Linked DNA regions of Mus musculus. The protein of the gene in region 2 interacts with the protein of the main gene of each other region in a biochemical or structural test. Links are inferred from orthologs where the notes say so. Each region holds a gene or a part of one and is shown on either strand. Other genes may lie near its edges.

Region 1 (7,170 bases), on a different chromosome or scaffold from region 2:
TCCCCTGCCCTCGACACCGGATGCCCAGGTAACCACTCTGGGGCTTTCAAGGGTCATAATAGTTTCTGACTTGGGATAGCTAAAGCCAACTTGCATTTCCTATGTAAAAAAAACATGAGGGGAAAGATGAGCCGACTGTATGTGGGTAGCCCATTGTAATTTACGAAGCTCGTTTACTTACATAGTATGTAATGCTTACAACAGCCCTGATCACGGAGCCAGAAACCAACTCCAGTACATAAGTACTCAGTACTCTTTTTTTTTTTTTTTTTTTTTTTTTTTTGGTTTTTCAAGACAGGGTTTCTCCTTATAGCCCTGGCTGTCCTGGAACTCACTTTGTAGACCAGGCTGGCCTTGAACTCAGAAATCCGCCTGCCTCTGCCTCCTGAGTGCTGGGATCAAAGGTGTGCGCCATCACGCCCGGCCTCAGTACTCTTCTTAGTAACCAGGGTGCAGAGGTCTCTGATTCAGTCAAATGAAATTATCTTCCCATTGCAGACTCAACGCAAAGACAGGCAAACTGGAAATGAGCTATTCCAAGTTCAAGACCAAGAACCTCTCTTTCCTGGGCACCTTTATTTTAAAGGTAACAAGGTAACAGGAGGTAAGGCCCGAGGCCGCCATCCTTAACTTGGGAAAAGAGAAACCTAGGCCTTTTCAGGCCCAAGGGGAGTTTGGGAACATCAAGAAGATCCCTATTCGTGAAGTAGATCTGCATAACTGAAGTCATCTTCACCTCTGGTCCCTGCAGGTAGCAGAGAACCTCCGGTTAGTGACAGTTCACCAAGGTGAGAGTGAGGACGGTGCCTTCACTGAGTGTAACAACATGACCCTCATCAACTTGCTACTTAAAGTCTTTGGGCCTATACATGAGAGAAACCTCACCCTGCTCCTGCTGCTCCTGCAGGTACAGCTCAGGGTGGGGCTTAGTAATGCCATGGCGTTTACATCTCTGGTTGGCCTTGCTTCTAATTCCAGTCCACTTCTCCCAGGTCCTAAGCAGCGCCGCCACCTTCTCCATTCGTTACCAACTCGTCCGACTCTTCTATGATGTCTGAGCTCCCTGACAGCTGCCCTTTACCTCACAGTCTCCATTGGACCTCAGCCAGGACCAGCCTCTGTCTGGTCCGAGATGACCCTCTGGTCCAGGCCTCGCTGACACTTTTGTTCTCAGCTTCTGCCATCTGTGACTACTGATATCCTGGATGGACACCTTGCTGGACTTGAAGTCCGCTAGTTGGACTTTGCCTAGGGCTTTCATCTTGCCTTGCCCTCCCTTTCTGTCCCATCTGCAGCCTCACCAGGTGGGCTTGTAGCCTCTATTATGCAAATATTCGTAGCTCAGCTTTCAGAGCGCTAACTCTAAAGGAATTCACCTGAGCCTTGAGAGAGAACCTGGGCTAGGGCTAGAGTTAGGGCTACATACTCCAAGGTGACCTCACATTTGACTATCAAATGAAGTGTTGTGATTGGGAAGCGTAGAGGCAGGGCCATGTGCTCAGAACGGTGACAATAAAGGACTGCCTTTTACTTGTTCCTCTAGTGTAGCATCCCCTCCCTCTGTCCTTTTTAACCTTCGTGGTGCTTCAGGAGTGAACACCGGGGCTTCCTTATACTTAACTGCTCTACCACTGAACTATATGCCAAGTCTGGTATATTTATTTTTTATATAGGCATTTTAGGATAGATTGGAAGGGTTAGACCGGGTACCTTTCCCAATAGGATACCGATCTCTGTTCCATCAGACCCTTTCTTGCAAAAAAGGCCTGTCACAAACTAAGACCAGACAGAACATGTTGAATAAATATCGCAGCACAAACTTGTGATAGCATAAAAGATCACAGTGCTCCATTTTCTGGCATAGGATTAAACTCCTAGGAGGTTTCATTTCGTTTCTTTTAAACCCTCCCTCCCTTTAATCTGCACTAGGGAGGCAGAGGCAGGCTGATCTCTGAGTTCCAGGACAGGCAGGGCTACTCAGAGAAACCCTGTCTCAAACAAACAAAAGCCAGATGGTGGTGGCGCACGCCTTTAATCCTCAGGCTTGGGAGGCAGAGGCAGGCGGATCTCTGAATTCAAGGCCAGCCTGGTCTACAGAGTGAGTTCCAGGACAGCCAGGGCTACACAGAGAAACCCTGTCTCGAAAAACAAACAAACAAACCTAAAAATAATAATGAACAAATAAACCCTCCGTCTACCAGATTAGAGGAGGGAGTGGGAAGTGCTCTAACCTGGAAGGAGAACGCTGCTTATAGTGTAGACCCTTTTCCTTTAAGACCAAAGACCGACTCAAATTTCCCAGAAACTGTAGAGGTAGCTCCAAGCTCCACCCTTCTAGTCTTCAGGTTTTGTTGTCGCGCCGTAGCGTTTAAATTTCGCGCGCTCTACACGGATTGGCCATTTCCAGGGGTGAGCAGCCTCCGGCTTGCGGCCACTCCGCCTTGTCTTCTTCCCCGGGTAAAAGGTTTTCAAATTGGACCAATCACTGGGCGCGTTCTCTCAGCTAAGGCGCGTCACCGAAGGGTTAATTGCAACCAACCAGAGGTGGGTATTAAAAAAGGAACCAATCAGGAGGAAGCGGGGGCGTGTCCAGGGAGTTTATAAGGCCGGGCTTGGCCGGCCAGGCGACCGTTGACTGCGGCGGTTGGTAGTTCGTGGTCTCTCAGCGTTGTTCGCAGCTCTTCTACCTCGTACACTATGTCCGGACGCGGCAAGACCGGCGGCAAGGCCCGCGCCAAGGCCAAGTCGCGCTCTTCACGCGCCGGCCTTCAGTTCCCTGTAGGCCGCGTACACCGGCTGCTGCGGAAAGGCCACTACGCCGAGCGCGTGGGCGCAGGCGCGCCGGTGTACCTGGCAGCGGTGCTCGAGTACCTCACTGCCGAGATCCTGGAGCTGGCGGGCAACGCGGCCCGCGACAACAAGAAGACGCGCATCATCCCGCGCCACCTGCAGCTGGCCATCCGCAACGACGAGGAGCTCAACAAGCTGCTGGGCGGCGTGACCATCGCGCAGGGCGGCGTCCTGCCCAACATCCAGGCCGTGCTGCTGCCCAAGAAGAGCAGCGCCACCGTGGGGCCCAAGGCGCCGGCGGTCGGCAAGAAGGCCTCGCAGGCCTCTCAGGAGTACTGAGGGGGCCCGCGCCGAGGCCGCCCAGCCCTCCCCACACCTCCACAAAGGCCCTTTTAAGGGCCACCACCTCCCTCACAGAAAGAGCTGAGCCACTTCGGGCTGCGGCGGCTTGCCGCGTCCCCATCCTTTCTCTTTCCCTCCTCTCCCCTCCCCGCCCTCGCGCCACTCTTCCCCTTACCCCGCACGGCCTCCGGTTCTGCCACGGAGGACGCGGGCGCCGCGGCACCTGCCCATCCCGGAGCTCGTGACATCGCTTCGCCGTTCTCGGTTGTGGACGACGGCTCCGTGCGGAGAGGCTGCGGCGCCTTCCCGGAGTCTCGGCCCCTCGCTCAGACGTCCGGCCGCGGTGGGCTTGAAGGTTAGTCCCTCCGCAGCTACAGCCCCGGCGTCTTTGCTTCAGCTTGGTGCTTAGCCCTCGCCTGGACCTTTGAAAAGTGACTTGATTGCCGGGCTTAGAGGAGGAGAAATGGATCACATTGTTTCCTTCGGTGTCACCGTTGCTGGCCTCATACCAGTTGACCCTGTCGCCATTCGTAGGCCAGTGTGGTGTGGCGGGGCCAAAAATGGTTGTAATGTGAACCCAGTTTCTCTAGGAATACCTCCCGGCAAGGGTCAGAGAGACGCTTACCGGCCTGTGGACAAGAGTTCTATACCTGCCGCAGGCGACTGGCAGCCGGGCCTAGCCATCCATCCCCTCTTCCCCAGCGACTCAACTACAACCCAAACACCTAGATACCAGCACAAGCCGGTGAATCCCTGTCTGGACTGAGCCTCTGGCTTCTGAACTGGAACTTTTGCAGCTATTACAAGTTTAGAACCTTAAGTGGGGAGATTTAATGGGCTAATTTTATTAAAGGATCGTTTGGTTTTGTTTTTTTAAAAAAGTGGTTTAATGTTGAATGCTGTAGTCCCAGGGCTGGACATATAGCTCCGTGGTAGAGCCATGTGCCTGGCACATCTTGGGAGAGAATGGGACTTCCCTTTCTGCAGGCCGTGGGAGTGGGAAAGGCTATGTAATCCACGAAGATCCCGTTGACTGAAGACAGGCTGTAGGAATTGAAGGCTGATTTTTTTTTTTTTTTTTTTTTTTTTTTTTTTTTGAGAACATGAGGCAAATCACAGCGTGTTTTACAACAGAAAGGTCTCAGACTCAATTCAAGTTTAAAAGGGCTTTGGGTTTATTCATATCTTCCCCAACTCTATCAGAAGAACCACATTCTAAACTGGTTTATTAGTGGTATTGGTTACATTCAAAGATTGGCATGGACTTTCTCTAAAGAGATGAAGCCCCCAACTACTGAGGGAAAGGCAGATATGGAGGCCCCAAGGTGAGGCATATCTTCCAAAGTGGAAGTCTCAACAACCCCGTGGTTCAATTTCCTGGGATAATCACATCCCTAGGGATGGAGCACAGGGCACTTGGAAGCCAGAAGTAGGCAGTGGAGTGGCAGCCAGGGTTCCTGTGCCCTACAGACCAGTTAGCGCACATCATTAAGCTGCCGTGCAACATCCAGGATGTTCTTGGCTCCTTTGTTGAGCAGCAAGCTGGCCAGGCTGATGCCCAGGTTCTCAGCAGCTAGCTGGGCTCCTCTTGGAATGTTACGGGCAGTGATTCCAACCAGTTGTGGGTCATCTTCTGGACCATCTTCTTGCTGGATGACAGGTTACAATTTTGGTAAGAGGAAGATTACAAGCAGTTCTATTTATTCCTTCCTCATCTCCCAGTCAATACCTGAACAGGGACCTGGATGGTGGCCTGCATAGTCTCTTGCATGCTATCTGAGCCATCTAGACTCCAGACTCCACCAGTCAGGTACAGCTAGGAAATAAAATGTTTGTACCAGGATATTTAAAGAAAGTTACTTAGATGTTTCGGTGCACATGGAAATGACAGTCCCTCCCCTCATCCATTTCCCTGGCTTACTTGCCCATCTTTCATCACTGTATGCACTGCTACGGGCACGCTGCAGCCTCCTTCCTGCAATGATATGTTCCTTTGAGCTCTAAGGGCCTTTAACACCACTTTTGACCACAGACCTCAAGGGGCCAGATCAAGGTCCTCTCCATACATACAAAACATTACATACTGAGTACTTGACAAATCTCTCTCCCTACTGCCCTTCCTGGTTTCCCCACAACACCATGGGAGGAGCCCATCTTACCAGGTGCCTCAGAAAAGCCCTTTCAGCAATGCAGCGAAGCAGAGTTTCAGGATCGTGCAACACACTCACTAGGTCCAAGATATCCTGGTCCTTGGCTCGGACTTCCACGGCTAGGGCTCCCTAAAGAACAACAGGCCTGATCTTCTCTAGTAATAGAGCTAAGCATGAGAAACACACCTCTACCTGCTTCCCTGGGTCTTATGCATAACAACCAAACCTGTCCCTCTCTAAACATCTTATTTGATGGATAGCAGGTGCCAAAGGTTATGAACCAGGTTCTCTCCAGGCAAACCTACCTGACCCACAGCATACATGCATTCTTCTGGGTGCAAAATCTGTGGAGAGAGACAAGATGGTGGGATAGGGGATGTTCAAAGGCAGTGAGCTAGGGTTTGCCAATCTAGGAAGCCTGGGGAAGGCACAGGTAGGAAGTCCAGCAATGAGTCCCAATATCCCTAGCCTGGGCTTCTGGTTGTAGTGTTGTTGGCAGAATGGTCAGGAAGAAATCAAGGCAGGAGAGAGGCAGATTCAATGGGAAGCAGAACAGGGCAGCTCCTACCTGGCCCACCCGGTTCTGCCAGCCCATGCGCTGTAGGCCAGCCACAGCCAGGACGATGGCACTGAATTCCTGCAGCTCATCCAGCTTCCGGAGGCGGGTGTTGAGGTTTCCCCGCTGTGGAGCGTTGCTAAGGAGAAGTCAAGACCTACCCAGTGCACCCTCTGCCCCACAGTCTCTTTTCCCCCCTCTAGCTAACTTTTAAAAAACTTTTGTTTTTGTTGAGTGGTGGTGTATACACCTTTAAATCCCAGCACTGGAGGCAGATACAGATCTCCATGAATTCAAGGCTAAATCTGGTCTACAGAGAGAGTTCCAGGACAGGCTGGGCTATACAGAAAAAGCCTGTCTAGAAAAATGGTAGAAATGAAAAAAAAAAAAAAAAAAAAGCTGGGCAGTGGTGACACATGCCCTTAAGCCCACAATTTGGGAGGCAGAGGTAGCCGGATTTCTGAGTTGGAGGCTAGGCTGGTCTATAAAGTGAGTTCCAGGACAGCCAGGGATATACAGAGAAACCCTGTCTCGAAAAACTAACTAACTAAATAAATAAATAATAAAATAAAAAGACTTCTTTGGAGTCGGGCGTGGTTAGAGCACGCCTTTAATCCCAGCACTCGGGAGGCAGAGGCAGATAGATTTCTGAGTTCAAGGCCAGCCTGGTCTACAAAGTGAGTTCCAGGACAGCCAGGGCTATACAGAGAAACCCTGTCTCGAAAAACCAAAACAAACAAAAAACAAAACAAAAAAAGACTTCTTTGGATAGGATCTCATAGTGTAGTCGTGGCTGTACTGGAACTTGCTCTGTAAGTTTTATTTTAGTTTTATGTGCATGGGTGTTTTGCATGCCTGTCTCCAAAGGCCAGAAGAGGGCATCAGTTCCCCTAGAACTGAAATACGAAATAGTTGTGAGCTACGGTGTGAGTGCTAGAAGTTGAACCGGGGTCTTCTGGAAAAGCAACCAGCACTTTAAACCCCTGAGCCATCTCTCTAGCCCCAGGACACACTGTTTTTAAAATTAGTTTTATGAAACATATCACATATTCACTGTAAAAACCAAAACCACTTAGCAGCACAGAAAGTAAAAGCAGAAGCGCCTCTGTCCCTGCCACCAGGAGTGGTCACCGGTCAGTATTACCTGCACTGCAGTGCCTGCCTGTCTGTCTAACATGTCAGCTCTATAGAACGAGGAACCATGTTTGTTTTGCAATTGTCCTCATTGCCAGGCCATTAAAGGGTGCCAGGCAGTGGTGGCCCACGCCTTTAATCCCAGCACTCAGGAGGCAGAGGCAGGCGGATTTCTGAGTTTGAGGCCAGCTTGGTCTA
Region 2 (7,452 bases):
ACATGTGCACAGTCATACATACAAAACACCCATATACATAAAACAAATCTTAAAAAGAAAGAGCATCTCAGAGATCATGGCTTTAGCCTGGATCTTCCTCCTCTGTGTGACTTAGTAGTTTTGATTAGAAGAGAAAAAGACAAAAAGAGCCAACTGCTCAGATGTAATTTGAGTGGCTTTTCCTCTTTGTCTTGAACTCCTGTTGCTTCCTGTTTGGGGGGTGAAGACATAACTAATTTTCAACGTAAAGAGCATAGGTAGGGTCCTTCCTAACAGCAAGCCCACGGGTGTCCTCACCTAACAGTAAGCCCACGGGTGTCCTGACCTCACGGTGTCCTGACCTTGGGGATAGAGGGGAACAGAAGCAGGAGGTGGCAAGCGTCGGAGGGTTGGACTTGTTTCCAGCCATGGCTGGGGGTGGGGGTTGGGGGGATAGGAGAGATGGGTATTCTTCTGTCCTCAGAGACAGCTGCTAACTACACCAGGGACTGTACACTCACTCAGGCCCCTGCCTCTAGAGTGATCTACCTCTCTCGTCCTGTGAAACTATAGTTTTGGGGAAAAGTTTTTAGCACTCAGGTTGTGACTTGCTAGTACCAAGCCCCCACCTTGGCTATTCGTGGAAAGGAACAAATTGCATATAGAGCACATACCGAGAAAGTAGGGTTTAGTTCCTCCAGGCCGCTGCAGCTAAAACACTGTGAATCGGGCAGCTAATGAGCAACAGCAATGTATCTTCCAAAGTTCTGCAGGCCTAGGAGTCCTGGAAGGCACTGGCAGATGAGGCTGGAGTCTGGCAAGGACATAATTTTGGTCCTCAGCTGCTATTTCTTCACACGGAGAAGAGCAGAACCAGCCTCTGCAGCCTTGGTTCTGAACCACTCATCCTGTCCTGCCCATCCTCCTAGCAACCTCAAGGCTTCTCCTAACTGTCAGCAGGTTAGCATTGAGCACACGGGGATGGGGTAGGCAGGGAGCCAGCTTCTGTGTCAGGAGGCAACTCTTGGGAAAGGGTGCTCACAGGGAGAGTTCCATCCTTGCACAGGCGCCTGATCACACCGCGCTCCGCCAGCCTTGCTCCCGGCCTGTCCTGCATTCTGCGGTTTCCCTGTGACTGTGGTGTTGTCTTTGCAGGAAGAAAAGGACAAGGTGCAAGCGCAGAAGGAGGAGGTTCTCAGCCACATGAACGACTTGCTGGAGAACGAGCTCCAGTGCATTATCTGCTCGGAGTACTTTATTGAGGTAAGTGTGCGGTGCTCACCCCCACCCTGGTGCACCGGCCTCTGGCACCAGGGGATCATTCTTTAGACAAGACTCGGTCCTCACTGTGCTGCCCCTCCTTAGACACTTACATGCACAGTTACCGTTTAACTGCAGTGAAACTCCGGGGGCCACTGAGCCTGAGGGTTTGAAGTGTTGGGAATATAACTGCCCACTGCTGCTGCTGTTCCTTTCCTCTGGGTGGGCACGGCGCGCTGTGTGGACTTGTGGTTTGGCTTTGAAGCAGAGTAGTGAGTGCCATTGATTGTGTGGTCACTGTGGGTATCAGGCACCAGAATGAATTTATTTCATGGCTTTGTGGGTCCTTTTGAAAAGCAAACACCCAGCCAGGCATGATGGCCCACGCCTTTAATCCCAGCACTCGGGAAGCAGAGGCAGGCCGATTTCTGAGTTCGAGGCCAGCCTGGTCTACAAGGTGAGTGCCAGGACAGCCAGGGCTACACAGAGAAACCCTGTCTGGAAAGAACCAAACCAAAAAAAAAAAAAAAAAAAAAAAAAAGATAAGCAAACACCTGTCTCCTAGGCTACCGTTTGTTACTTCGCCATGTTATCACACCAGCTATTTTAATTTTCATACATTTTCGTACCATTTGTAACCAATTCATTTTATGCTAAGTGTTACGCTTATACAGTTGAGTAGCAGGTGAGTTTTAGTCTTTTTTACACCTTTGGAAAGGAAGATGGGTGTGCAGAGAGACTGCTGTTCCCAAGCAGCCCCTAGGAAGATTGGGTGTGTCTGCCTCCTGCGGAAAGACCAGGTCTGTGACTGGAGTCACTTTGGCTGCCACTTTGGCTGCAAGTCATTCCCAGCGTAGTCTCCAGTCTGATGGGTTGCTTAGGACTGTGGGAACTGGAGGGGAGTGGGAGGAAAGGGAGGCAGAACCGGGTGCTGAGCCAGCCGGAGCAGAGCGGAGCCTCTGTGAGGCGGGGCTGTGGTGAGTCTGCCTGTGGGCCTGGGAGATTCGCTCTGTTGTGCTTGAGAAAGTAAGAGTGTCCCTTTCACATTGCAGGCTGTCACCCTGAACTGTGCCCACAGTTTCTGCTCCTTCTGTATCAATGAATGGATGAAACGGAAAGTAGAGTGTCCCATTTGTCGAAAGGACATTGAGTCCAGAACCAACTCCCTGGTTCTGGACAACTGCATTAGTAAGATGGTGGATAACCTAAGCTCAGACGTGAAGGAAAGAAGAAGTGTCCTTATTAGGGAACGGAGAGGTGAGTGGCTCTGAACTCCTACTCCCTGACAAAGGGCTTCCTTACTTAGCTACAGCAGGCGTTTTTACAGGGTGAAGTTGGACAATAGAGTTTAGTAAATGTTTTTGGAGTACAGGCAGGAGAAATGGGAGTATCTGCAGAGTTCAGGTAGCCCGCATAGGAAAGAACCGAATTAGAGTTAGTCTCTGTTGTTTGAGCTCCACCTGGTAGGTGTGTTCCCGCTTGCTCTGGAGCAAAAAGCTGGGCCAGAAAACAGTCAAATGGTTTGCTGTCTGCACACCAGGTGGTGCTGTTGCTGAAGGCAGCCGGCCAGTTAGAGATGGAAATACATACATAAGCTCTGTAAGGGCTTAGGGCTGGGGTGTAGTCAGCCACAAAGCCCTGGGTTCAGTCCCTAGCACCACTATTCACACACACACATTATTGCGTCCTGGTGGGTTTGATAACACATCTCCAGTCAGGGGACTTGGGGTGAGAAGATTGGGGAAGGGATGGCAAGTGTTCCTGAACTGTCCCTCCTAGTGAATATCTGTCCATTTAAGTCAGTGGTTCTCAACATCCCTAATGCTGCAACCCTTTAAAGTAGTCCCTCTTGTTGTGACTGACAACCATAAAATTAATTTGGTTACCACTCCATAACCATCTGTACGTTTGCTACTGTTATGAATCACAATGTAAATATCTGTTTCTGGTGGTCTTTGGGGGTCGTGCCCACAGGTTGAGAACCGCTGGTTTAAGTGATGCTGCCACACTAGGGGCTTGCTGTGTTAATGCCGCAGAAAGCCACTCCTTCATGTTGCAGCAGAAGATTCTTGGTGCAGAACAAGGAAGCTGCTGGGTATTGCATAGAGAGCCATGGCACAAGAGGCGGGGTGTCCATGGCCGTCGTGTTCTGTTGCTACCTTCTGGGAATTGGAAATTAACTCAGCTCCTGTCTGTGATGCTGTCACATGACCGGTGTGTGGGGGTTGGGTGGGGGTGGGGTGGCCTGGTTATACTCCTGAGCTGAGAGATGCTGGGCAGCATAGAGGCCAGATGCTGGTCATAGCAGTCGAGTGGCCCTACAGGAACCAGCTTTTCCAGGTAGGGACAGGGATCTGTTGCTGACACATGTGCATCCATAGTGTGAGACTGGGCTGGGTGCTGTGGATGCCGAGTGGGAAGGGTTCCTGGCTAGGAGTGTGAGCTGACCCTTGACGTGTGTGCTTGCTGCTTTCCTGATACCTGCTAGAGTATTTTGCTCAGTTTAGAGTCTCTATAAGTTTTACCTCTGCCCTTGGTTCTGGCAGAAGCCCATTGCTCTTCATTTCCACCTGTATTTCCATAGGAACATGACACTAGCCCTGGGAAGAGAGAGAGCATCTCACTTCCTCTCACGCTTACCTGAAGGTGTTGTGTGGCTTCAGAGGAAGGACCGCTTACGTGGGTCTGGGCAGGTGGAGATGAGAGAGGATCCTGTAGAGGAAGCCATGTTTATGCCAAGCCTTACAGCTTTCTGGTTGCTTGCTTTCCAAGCCAAGAACATGACACAGTTTGCAGAACAGCCAAAACTGGGAGGGGCCTGCCAATGGCTTGCTTCTGTCTTCCTGGGAGTCAGATTAGATAAGGAGCAGGCTATGACTTTTGAGCGGAAGTGTGTTGTCTGGGTCAGGGTGGGATGCCTATGAGAGTTTCTTTTTTCTTTTTCTTTTTTTTTTAAGATTTATTTATTTATTTATTTATTTATTTATTTATGTAAGTAAACTGTAGCTGTCTTCAGACACACCAGAAGAGGGTATCAGATCTCATTAAGAATGGTTGTAAGCCACTATGTGCTGGGATTTGAACTCAGGACCTCTGAAGAGCAGTCAGTGCTCTTAACCACTGAGCCATCTCTCCAGCCCCCCCCCCCCCCCCAGGAGAATTTCTTTGCCCAGCCTATGTTGTTGTTCAGCTGATGACTGGAAGAGCCCAAGTCCGTCTCTGTCCTCTTATGGAGAGTCACTTGCATAGACTAAGGACCACAGTCCCTCCTCCCTTCTCTGCAGAGGCTAAGCAGGCTATCCCTGGGCGCCTCTGGAAAGAGGAGTGACTGTTCAGGAAACCACGCCCTGTTGCACACCCTGATCGCAGCATGTCTGGCAGCCAGTTCTCACCGCAAGTGCAGCTTTGCGACCCGTTCTTTAGACAGGCAGAAGGTTCTGTGCCTTGATTTAGGAAAAGATGTACCAGAGCCACCAGCAGCGTTGTTGGGCTGCAGTCTGGGGGCCAGCTCTCTGTGAGTGTTCAGCTCTCTGTGAGTGTTCTGGCTGCAGTGTGGGGGCCAGCTCTCTGTGAGTGTTCTGGTGCCATTTGAAGGCTGGTTTATTCCTTAGTGCGTGGGAATTTCTAAAAAGAACTTAGGATCTGGAATGGAAGAGTGTTCAGTGGTCAAGAGTACTTTCTGCTCTTCCAGAGGACTGTGTTCAATTCCTAGCACCCACATGCTGGCTTACAACTGCCTGTAACTCCAAAGGGATCTGACATGTTTTGGCTGTTTTAGGCACCAAGAATGCACATGGTGTGCATATATGTGTAGGTAAAACACCCTTACATATAAATACAACAAACCAAGCGAATACACAAAGAACGCAGGCTCTGTGTTTGGGCAAGGGTTTGGTTGATTCTCACGCAGATGTCCTGTGCTCTCCAAAAGCAGGGCCTTCCTCAGCTTCCCTGACTGTAGGTTTAGGTCCCAGTGGGAGCAGCACCTCCTGACTGGTTAGCTGTTGGGGGTGGGGGATAGTAGGAGGCTGGATTAAAGCAGGATTAAAGAAGCATGCCTTGCAGGTGGGGTAAATAGCACATTCAAATGCCACATTTGTACCAGGGTCACTGTGGCTGGCTGTGTAAGGGGTCACTGTGGCAGGCACCTTCTGAAGGAAAGGGTTGAAATTCCCCGTGGGGAGATGGTAAGGGGAGGGCCATTCTTGTCAGATTCTCCCTCCCCTGTTTTCTCTGCTCCCCTTAGATTAACTATGTTCACACAGTTTCCCCAGCCGTGTCTCCTCCCCTTTTCCTCCAGGTTTTGTGGTGGTTGTAGGGTGGGTTTGAGAGGCCAGCCTGAAACTCAGAGCCCTCCTCCCTCTGGACTTCCCAAGTGTTGGGGTCTTAGGCTTGAGGTGCTGTGCTCAACTCCCCTGAGTTTCGAAAATGAAGGAAGCGGGGCTGGAGACAGCTGGAGGGTTGGGGTCTTCACCCTGCATGGGAGGAGAGGCATAGGAACCCAAACGATCTGCAGGTGAATTGTTCTTTCTTTCTCAGCTCTGGCTCCTACAGACTGCATCCTCCCAACCCTCCTCCCCCACCCCTGTTCCCTTGCTATTGTAACACTAAGTTGAAGCTCTTGATGAATGTATGTGGAGAGAAGGCACCGTGAATCTGTGAGTTGGGCTGTTCTGAGTTGAAGGCTCCTAGGAAGATCCACCTTGCCTGTGACTTCAGCCACCCCTGTTTAGCTAAAGGAAGGTGGTGTAGAGAACAGAGAACCAGCAAGGGTCCCAGACTCCAGACAGGTCTATCCGCTCCCCTGGAAGTGTATCTGATGTTGCCCAGCTCCTTTCTTAGAAGCCAGCCTTGACAGGATTGCTTGGTGGGTCAGCAGCCTTCAGACTGATGAAGAACTCACCGGAGAGAGTGTTAGATTGCAGACTCTGAGCCCTGTCCTGAGACTGCTGTTTACCCAAAATCAACGTGTAGGGTATGGACTGTGTGCCCAAGGAAACGGCTCAGCAAACTTGCACTCAAGGACTGGGATTGTTTATGGAGGTAGGGTCTGCTGTGTAGACCAAGCTAACCTCTAACTCAAAGAGATCTACCTGTCTCAGCCTCCCCTAGTGCCACCATGCCCAGATGGACGGTTTTGATTTTTTTTTTTTTTAATTTTTTTGTTTTGTTTTGTTTTGTTTGTTTTTCGAGACAGGGTTTCTCTGTACAGCCTTGGCTGTCCTAGAACTCACTTTGTAGACCAGGCTGTCCTTGAACTAAGAAGTCTGCCTGCCTCTGCCTCCCAAGTGCTGGGATTAAAGGTGTGCACCACCACTGCCCGGCTTGTTTTTGACTTTTTAAAAAATTTATACTTTGCAAAATTATTGCTAGGTAAGAGTTAACAGACGTTACTAGACGTATTTGTCTGGTTTCTTCATTAAAGTAAGAGTTGTCTTCTTGAATTCCTTTCTCTTTTCCTCCTTATTGAGAGCTCAAATACAGTTAGAGATGACAGGAAGGCTGGGGGATGGCAGAGTCCTCACAAGATGAGAACTCAAGTCTGACTCCCAGAGTCAATTAAGCTGGGCATAGTGGAACTTAAAATCCCAGCGTTGGGTAGTGGAGATGGGCATGTCCTTGAGTCTTGCTGGGAGCTTCCTCAGTCGGCCTCAGGCCATGGTGTAAGAAAGACTGTCTCAAAGAACCAGGTGGACAGCTGAGGAGAGACACTTAGGCACTGAGAGAGTTGACCAGCCTCCCCTCTCATGCACAGACACATGTCTCCCCTCAGGCTTACACACCGGTGGGAGTGTCTGCGTCCAGGGTGTATATAGTGGTAGCATCACAGGAACTGGTAGAGAAAGCACTGTGCTGTGGCGGTCAGCTCTGGGGCTGTGTGGACTGCATGAACTAGTGACCCAGAAAGTACCGGCACCTCCGGCTTCTTGCCAGTCTGTAGTCCCTGTGATCGCAAACAGGTATGAGAGCTGACTTAGTGACCTGTAGTGAGAGCTCTTTGCCATGTCATCAGAAGCTGCCATCTGTTTGGAAGCACCCAGGAGAGCTTTCCCAGCTGAGAAGACTGGCCTTCCCAAGTGATGTCAGTCCTCTTCTGTCCAAAGAGAGAACCGGGTGTTCAAGAACAGGCAGTGGGATGACCTTGAATGTAGGCCCACCTCACATTTAAATATGCCTGGTGCATGGTCTAGTGTGGAGAGTGGGGGCTCCTGA

What was found.
Region 1: of the proteins of Rnf8 (region 2) and H2ax, one has a biochemical effect on the other in vitro, tested with the Homo sapiens proteins (2 studies listed by BioGRID). The link is inferred for Mus musculus from reciprocal best matches to the Homo sapiens genes RNF8 and H2AX.

What each region holds. Positions count from the first base shown.
Region 1 is NC_000075.6:44,332,065-44,339,234, forward strand, and holds H2ax (histone H2AX), read left to right. Parts: upstream 1-2,650; 5' UTR 2,651-2,697; coding exon 2,698-3,129; 3' UTR 3,130-4,013; downstream 4,014-7,170. Other genes in the region: Dpagt1 (UDP-N-acetylglucosamine--dolichyl-phosphate N-acetylglucosaminephosphotransferase), read left to right, coding at 1-28, 499-586, 752-907, 993-1,058; Hmbs (porphobilinogen deaminase), read right to left, coding at 4,608-4,781, 4,862-4,948, 5,054-5,107, 5,292-5,411, 5,588-5,626, 5,851-5,964. UniProt on the Homo sapiens protein: Variant histone H2A which replaces conventional H2A in a subset of nucleosomes. Nucleosomes wrap and compact DNA into chromatin, limiting DNA accessibility to the cellular machineries which require DNA as a template.
Region 2 is NC_000083.6:29,633,527-29,640,978, forward strand, and holds part of Rnf8 (E3 ubiquitin-protein ligase RNF8), read left to right. Parts: intron 1-1,134; coding exon 1,135-1,242; intron 1,243-2,291; coding exon 2,292-2,496; intron 2,497-7,452. UniProt on the Homo sapiens protein: E3 ubiquitin-protein ligase that plays a key role in DNA damage signaling via 2 distinct roles: by mediating the 'Lys-63'-linked ubiquitination of histones H2A and H2AX and promoting the recruitment of DNA repair proteins at double-strand breaks (DSBs) sites, and by catalyzing 'Lys-48'-linked ubiquitination to remove target proteins from DNA damage sites.